2 linked regions of the Canis lupus familiaris genome follow. The protein of the gene in region 1 binds, or shares a complex with, the protein of each later gene. Links are inferred from orthologs where the notes say so. Each region holds a gene or a part of one and is shown on either strand. Other genes may lie near its edges.

Region 1 (3,744 bases):
CTGTCTGAGGAGTGATCCTCCAGCAGTCTTAGGTAAGTTGCTAACATTGGAGTCCGGAATATAGGACTCCTGCTTTTCTGAAACTCAGAATCAGGTTCAGGAGACCAAGGGATAATTAAGACAGGAACCCTGCCTTAGTAAGTAAATAGGGGCAGATTTCTGGAATAGAGATAAGCAAAAATGAGGCATCTTACATATTGTCTAGCCAGGCTGCCTGAAAGGTTCTTTCTTTTCTTTTCTTTTCTTTTCTTTTCTTTTCTTTTCTTTTCTTTTCTTTTCTTTCTTTCTTTCTTTTTTTTTTGATTTTTTTTTATTTATTCATGAGAGGCACACACAGAGAGCGAGGCAGAAACACAGGCAGAGGGAGAAGCAAGCTCCATGCAGAGAGCCCAATGTGGGACTCGATCCCCCATCTCCAGGATCAGGCCCCGGGCTGAAGGCAGCCCTAAACCACTGAGCCACCTGGGCTGCCCTGAAAGGTTTTCTAGAAAAGGGTGATCTCAAGAGCTGCAGGTCAACAAGTATTGTTCTCACACCAACCCCAATTTTTTTTTAATTTTTTTTTTTTTTTTTTTTTTTATGATAGAGAGAGAGAGAGAGGCAGAGACACAGGCAGAGGGAGAAGCAGGCTCCATGCACCGGGAGCCCGATGTGGGATTCGATCCCGGGTCTCCAGGATCGTGCCCTGGGCCAAAGGCAGGCGCCAAACCGCTGTGCCCCCAGGGATCCCCCAACCCCAATATTTGATAATTGTTCTCTACTTGGCACTGGAGATGCAGTGGGGAATAAAACTGTCTTGGTGGAAGTTGTTGGAGAAGGGAGAAAACAAATTAATAGATTTGGATGTCAAGTAGTGGTAAGTGCTCTGAAGAAAAAAAGTAAGGCAATGTAAAGGGTTAGAGAGCAGATGGGGAGAGGGTGTGCCACTTTAGATAAAGTGATCATGTCTCTGAGGAAGTGCTATGTGAGCAGAGACTTGAATGAAGCAGGGCCTAGTTGTTAAATTGAACATTAATCCACAGTGATCCAGCAACATCTGAGAGGGAGAATCCATCCTTTTAGACTGCTCCAAGGGGCAGGATGACCCTGCCTCTCATGATTTTGCCCAGCTTGTGTCCAAAGTTCTAAGATTGATTCTGCTTTCTGTCTGGTCCCCCTGGGTGGCAGGGAAATAGCTAAATGGGAAGGCTTAGTGCTCCTGGGGCTGTGTTGATGCTTGTACAGAGGGATGAGGTTTGCCTGGGTATTTCTGTCACGCTCACAAGTACTTTCTCCTTTCTCCTTTTAGTTTGAAGGATGACCTCTAGGAAGAAAGTGTTGCTGAAGGTTATCATCCTGGGAGATTCTGGGTAAGTTTGAAGTAACAGATTGGTTTGGATTAAATGTGACTTTGAAGCCATGCCCTCCCTGCTCACATTTGCCACTTCTCTAATAGTAGTGGCAGTAGGGTTCTAGGTCTCTTGCCATTTCCAGCACAGCAGATTTTTTTTTTTTAAGCACAGCAGAAATTTTAATGATCTCTTAGTCTGTAATCCTTGGTTCCCTGGTCTTTGGCATGATTTAGGGGAAGGAGTAGCCATTTAAACTCAAGAACGGTTTCACTGGAATCTCTTTTTTCTGAGCTGATTAGACAAGGGAGTTCTGTTCATGTGTAGATTTGTTGCCACTGACCTCATGCCTACCAGTTGTGGGTTTGGAGTCTGGATACAGCTGTGCAGTATCTTCCCACTACTGGGTCTGATTTGGGGTGTATCTGAAAGAACCTGCGACTGGAAAACTGGGTTCTGATCCTAGATCTGCCACTAATTAAGTGACTAACTCTTCAGTAGCTGTTAACGATTCTGTGGGAGGCTTTTCAGACTCAGCATCTGATGTGACCTGGAAACCTTAGACCAACTAGAAGCTATGTATTTTTTTTAAATGATGATGATGATGATGATGATGATGATGATAAATCCAGGTGTGCCTCCTTACACGAAAGTTCCCTGCCCTTTAAGAAGGCAGTGATTTTTCTACCCTGTCTGGCTTTTCTGATTGCCCTGAGGAGCTTTTCAAAAGTAAGCATTTTTCCAGACCATTGTGTTGGGCCTCATTGGCAGTACTTAAATACATATATCTCTCTGTCTCCCTCCTCCCTCCTTCCTGGTGACCACTGTGCTGTCAGGAATGAAAGGTACTGTTTTAGGCCCAAACTTGCATGGGAAAAATCACCGGGCCTTTATTTGATTAGAGACCTCCTGACCTCTCCCCTGAAAATTCAGACCCAGGTGACCTGGATTGGAGAACACTGCCTTAAGCCATAACTTACTTCCAGGTCCTCTGCCTATGAAGATGAATATGTTCCTTAGAGGGAAAGGAAGGTGATCCTGTTGACTTGGAAGAAGACTTTTATGTTATCTTCAGCCTGCCCTAACTAATCTCATCACCAAAAAAAATCCACACATTGTCTCTTACTGAGTTTTCTTACTGAAAAACTTCCCTGGAGGAGCTTACTCTGAGGTAGATTCTGATTTGGTGGGAATATTGATGCTTTCCTCACTTCAGATTTTAATCTTTGAAGTAGCAGGTGGCTGACTGGCATATATGTCTGCTCATAGCCAGTGACTTTCTCCTGCTATTACTTTCTTGGACTGAATATCAGCCCCTAAATGGAGAGACACCCAGGACAGCAGAGATATTTTTAGAATGGTGGCAGGATCTTATTGCTGTAGCTTCTTTTAGAAAGAGAGTATTTGCTGACATCTTTCTGGAAGGAAAAAAATAATACTAAGTTCTACCATCTGAGTTACTTGTACCAAAACTTAAGAGCAGCTTTTCAACATCTGATCCACATCTATAGCCCTGTACTTTTGTTCCAGGAGAAAATAAAACCTCGAATGAGTAACACTGAGCAGTTTGCTGGCACTATCCTCTGTTGTGATTACAGTTGCTTGTTATCCTTTAAGCTGGCAAGTATCTTCAGAGCTGCAAATATCAGAATCATTTTTCTGCCCCTTCTAACTTGACCTATACTTGTGGTTTTTCTCCAATTTCAGAGTTGGTAAGACATCACTCATGAACCAGTATGTGAACAAGAAATTCAGTAATCAGTACAAAGCTACAATAGGAGCAGACTTTCTGACAAAGGAGGTGATGGTGGATGACAGACTAGTTACAATGCAGGTAAGCACACATCTCAACTTTGTCACCCAAGCCTTGTTCATTCAGTCTGAACTCTTTTGTTCATGCCTAGGCATTTTCCCACCCCATTCCTCATTTCCCACTACTATATTCATGGATAATTGGTCGCAGGTAGGATGGCCAGATACAAATACAGGACATCAGGTATGACCCAGGCATTGCATGAGACATACTAGAAATTTTTCATTGGTTTTCCAAAGTTCAAATTTAATTGGAGTTCCTGGTTTTTTGTTGGTTTGGTTTGTGTTTTTTGTTTTTGCTGAATTTGATAACATACAGGCCCAAACTTTTGTCTCCAAAATGTTTAACTCATTCCTTTCTCTTAATATCCCCACATGGGGGACGCCTGGGTGGCTCAGCAGTTGAGCGTCTGACTTTGGCTCAGAGCATGATCCCGGGGTCTGGGATCAAGTCTCGAATCAGGCTCCCCTTGGGGAGCCTGCCTCTCTCTCTGTCTGTGTCTCTGGGTGCTCCCCCCCCCGCCCATGTCTCATGAATAAAGAAATAAAATCTTAAAAACAAAAATCGCCACATAGTATTTTAGGTCAGAATATCTTTGGGTCT
Region 2 (3,744 bases), on another chromosome or scaffold:
TGGCCCAAGGGCCCAGGCTGGGTGAGGCAGGTGCATCTGCTTAACACTGGCCCTTTCTTCTAACCCTAGGTGTCCGGCATGATCCCAACATGAAGTATGAGCTGCAGCTGGCAAATCCTAAAGAGTTCTACCACGAGGTGCACAGACCTTCCCACTTCCTCAACTTCGCTCTCTTGCAAGAGGGTGAGGTCTACTCTGCGGACCGAGAAGACCTCTATGCCTAGTTGTTTCCTCACCTCCCCCTTCTTCACACTCCCCAAGACTGGAGCCTTTTACAAAACCCCAAAAAGAAGCTGGTGACATTCAGCAGCTTGGTTCCTTTTCTCCCTGTTTGTGCTTCTTGTAATTGATCTCTCGTGGCATGTAGTCCTGAGCAAAATGTAATAATAAATTTTGTATAAATAGGAGTTTTTGAGGTTGTTTTTTTCCTCCTGAGCTCAAATTCTGGGTGTAGGGATGGCAGGAGGCTGGCCTTGTTCACAGCAAGATGCTGGCCTTGGTCTTTTTTAAAAAAAAATTTATTTTTTATTTTTTTTTATTCATGAGCAATAGAGAGAGACACAGGCAGAGGGAGAGGCAGGCTCCATGCAGGAAGCCTGACATGGGACTCGATCCCAGGTCTTGAGGATCACACCCTGGGCTGCAGGCAGCCGTGTTAAACCCCTGTGCCACCGAGGCTGTGGCCTCGGTCTTAAAGTGGCATGAGGCCCCTCCCTACTCGGGGGCTGTGGATCAAGAAACTTGTAGATTCAAGGAATAGAGGTGGGGTTGGGTTTTAACACCCTTACTGCCTTGACCACGTCTGCCTACTTCCCTTAAAAATATTTGCAAACTATCACTCTTTTCAGCCTCCTTTGGAGCAGTTGCTGCCATTTTCTGAGTCTAGAAGCTTGTGAATTTTTCCCGACAGCTGTGGTGCCCAGCATAGCCCCTTAGGCTTTGTGTCACTGGTGGTTGGGAAAACAGGCACTTGGCTGGACAGATGGCTGTCCCTGGCAGAGGCCTGACAGCCCTCCTACCTCTCACCTCTTGCCTGTGGTGTTTGGCAGCCAAGTTGGGCCTCATGACTCCAGAGACAGGGGTGGAGCCTGGATTGCGCGCTGTGGGGAGGGATTGACAAAAGTGACCACTTAGAGCCGTGAACCTCAACCTCTTGGACGCCTGGCTGGAAGTCGGCAGCCTTGCTTCCTGTGACCTTGGGGCTCAAACAGGACAGAGCCCAGGGGGCCCAGTGCACAACCGCCTTCAAGCCTTTACCTTTTTTCTTCATTGCTCCTCCTCTGTCGCTTCTTCCCCGCCCCCCACTGCCCGAAACTGCTTCCTGGGCCGGAACTGTTTGGCTTTTTCCTGCCCCAATTAGGGCTGTGGGTGGGGGTAGGGAGGTTGGCGTGGCCTTTAACTTTCTGGGGACATGGAGCCCAGGAAGGCGGTACCTGGGGTGCACAGCTGCGGGCCTCGGGTGGCCGCGGGGTCAGGGACGGCGGCGGAGCTCGTGTACCATCTAGCGGGGGCCCTGGGCACGGAGCTGAAGGAGCTGGCGCGCCGCTTCGGGCCGGAGGCGGCGGCCGGGCTGGTGCCGCTGGTGGTGCGGGCGCTGGAGCTCCTGGAAAAGGCCGCCGTAGGGCCGGACCCAGACTCAGTGAGTCGCCGCCCTTTCCCCTGGCCACCCGCAGGGCTGGCGGGAGCCTCGCCCTCACAGCCTGGACTCCCCAGCTGCAGGTGTCAGCGCAGCAGGCCGAAGTGGAGCTGCGGCGGCTGCGGGAGGAGAACGAGCGCCTCCGCAGAGAGCTGCGCTCCGGCCCACAGGGTGAGTGCGGGCACCGCCAGGGGGCGGGGCGGGCGGCTCCGGGCCTCCTCCCCAGGCCGCTGCTAAGAACGCCCCTTCCTCAGAGGAGCGGGCTCTCCTGAGGCAGCTCAAGGAGGTGACCGACCGCCAGCGGGACGAGCTCCGGGCGCACAACCGAGATCTGCTCCAACGCAGCCAGGAGACCGAGGCGGTGAGGGCGGGGCGGGGCGGGGCGGGGCGATGGGCGTGAGCGGGGCTCTCCACCCGGCCCACCGACGCCCCGCCTACCTCCTCTTTGACTCCGCCCCCAGCTGCAGGAGCAGCTGCAGCGCCTCCTGCTGGTGAACGCGGAGCTGCGCCACAAGCTGGCAGCGGTGCAGACCCAGCTGCGCTCCGCGAGGGACCGCGAGGGAGAGCGGGAGCTACCGCACCAGGGGGCGGTGGAGCCGGCGCGGGACCGTGCCGGGGGGGCCGGGGACGCACAGAGGCGGAGGTCCGAGCGGGCAACCGCCGACGCTGGAGCTCCGGGGACCCCTGAGGACCAGGTGAGTGCCCATGGCAGTCCTCACAGGTCTGGCACTTGGGCACTCGGGCTGGGTTTGTCGTCCTGCCTAGCGGGTCCATCAGGAAGTTGGTAGGTGGGGGATCCCTGGGTGGCTCAGCGGTTTAGCGCCTGCCTTTGGCCCAGGGCGCGATCCTGGAGTCCCGGGATCGAGTCCCACGTCGGGCTCCCGGCATGGAGCCTGCTTCTCCCTCCTCCTGTGTCTCTATCATAATATCATAAATAAATAAATCTTAAAAAAAAAAAAAAAAGAAGTTGGTAGGTGGCACACGAGTGCGCGTCTCCAGCCGGTCCCTGCTCCCACGCTGGCCAGAGCACCGGGCTGTCGTCATCTGTCGCAGCTCCCTTACCTCCCCAAGTCTCCCGGCCAGTCGCTCCCTCTAGCATTCCTGTGATGGCCCGGGGAAAGGGGGGCGCCGGCAGAGGCACCCCTCTGACCCAGCCTGTCCCTCTGCAGGCGGCTGCCCTGCAGCAGCCAGGGCGCCCTTCCGAGGCAGGACAGTGCAGCTTCAGTCGAGAGGAGCTCGAGCAGATCCTTCAGGAGCGGAATGAGCTCAAAGCCAACGTGTTCCTGCTGAAGGAGGAGTTGGCCTACTTCCAGCGGTGAGGGCGGTAGGCAGGGGCTGGGAAGCTCAGGGGCTCCACTCACACTTGTCCTGGGCCTCACATCACCAGCTCCGTTCCTTAGTTCACTGATCTACCCATCATGATATATGGCAGGTGCTGTGCTGGACACTGGGAAGACATGAGTCACACAGCCCCTGCCTTCCTGGAACTTCTTCCAAATGGGGTAGGAGGTAGTAAAAAACACAGCAGCTGTGAAAGATTCCTAGGGGCATCACCTAAGCTAAGTCTGAGGGATGTCAGCAAGGCAGAACATTTCAGAAAAGGAGAATGTCAGGCACAGGTACTTGGGATGAAACCTACTGCTGGCATTCCTGCTGCTTACTCTGCCTCTTTTCCTCCTCGGGTAGGGAGCTACTCACAGATCACCGGGTCCCTGGGCTTCTCCTTGAAGCCATGAAGGTGGCTGTCAAGAAGCAGCGGAAGAAGATCAAGGCCAAGATGTTAGGGATCCCAGAGGAAGCAGAGAGCAGGTAAGTCCCTGCCTCCATTCCCACTGAGCCAACCCCTTCTCACTCTTTCCGCTGAGCCTAATGCTTCAGCCTGGTCATGCTCTAACCCATCTTAATCACCCCTTGGGCCTACCACCTTAGCTTCATAAATTCCTGAGCCTGTCACCTAGCCTAGTCCCTTCTTAAACCTGCTTACCTGGCCTGGTCACCCCTGCACCTGCTGTCCAGCCTGTCCTGCTGAGCCTACCACTCTGGCCTGGTCACTCCCTGAGCCTGCCACTCTGGCCTGGTCACCCCCCCCCCCCCCCCGAGCCTGCTGT

Evidence for each region. The genes of interacting proteins can lie anywhere in the genome.
Region 2: the proteins of RAB7A (region 1) and RILP are in contact, whole or in part, in a crystal structure (PDB 1YHN), measured with the Homo sapiens proteins. The link is inferred for Canis lupus familiaris from reciprocal best matches to the Homo sapiens genes RAB7A and RILP. Residues at the interface, in NP_004628.4 of Homo sapiens: Ser3, Lys6, Leu8, Ile41, Gly42, Ala43, Asp44, Phe45, Leu46, Thr47, Thr58, Trp62, Ser72, Leu73, Val75, Leu182, Tyr183, Asn184, Glu185; in NP_113618.2 of Homo sapiens: Phe248, Glu249, Leu252, Gln253, Arg255, Asn256, Lys259, Ala260, Phe263, Leu264, Glu267, Glu268, Tyr271, Arg274, Glu275.

The regions. Positions count from the first base shown.
Region 1 is NC_049241.1:2,782,026-2,785,769, forward strand, and holds the start of RAB7A (ras-related protein Rab-7a), read left to right. Parts: upstream 1-1,287; 5' UTR 1,288-1,296; coding exon 1,297-1,349; intron 1,350-3,035; coding exon 3,036-3,162; intron 3,163-3,744.
Region 2 is NC_049230.1:45,740,717-45,744,460, reverse strand, and holds the start of RILP (rab-interacting lysosomal protein), read left to right. Parts: upstream 1-1,140; 5' UTR 1,141-1,411; coding exon 1,412-1,639; intron 1,640-1,713; coding exon 1,714-1,807; intron 1,808-1,890; coding exon 1,891-1,997; intron 1,998-2,097; coding exon 2,098-2,331; intron 2,332-2,805; coding exon 2,806-2,951; intron 2,952-3,322; coding exon 3,323-3,445; intron 3,446-3,744. Other genes in the region: PRPF8 (pre-mRNA-processing-splicing factor 8), read left to right, coding at 70-224. UniProt on the Homo sapiens protein: Rab effector playing a role in late endocytic transport to degradative compartments. Involved in the regulation of lysosomal morphology and distribution.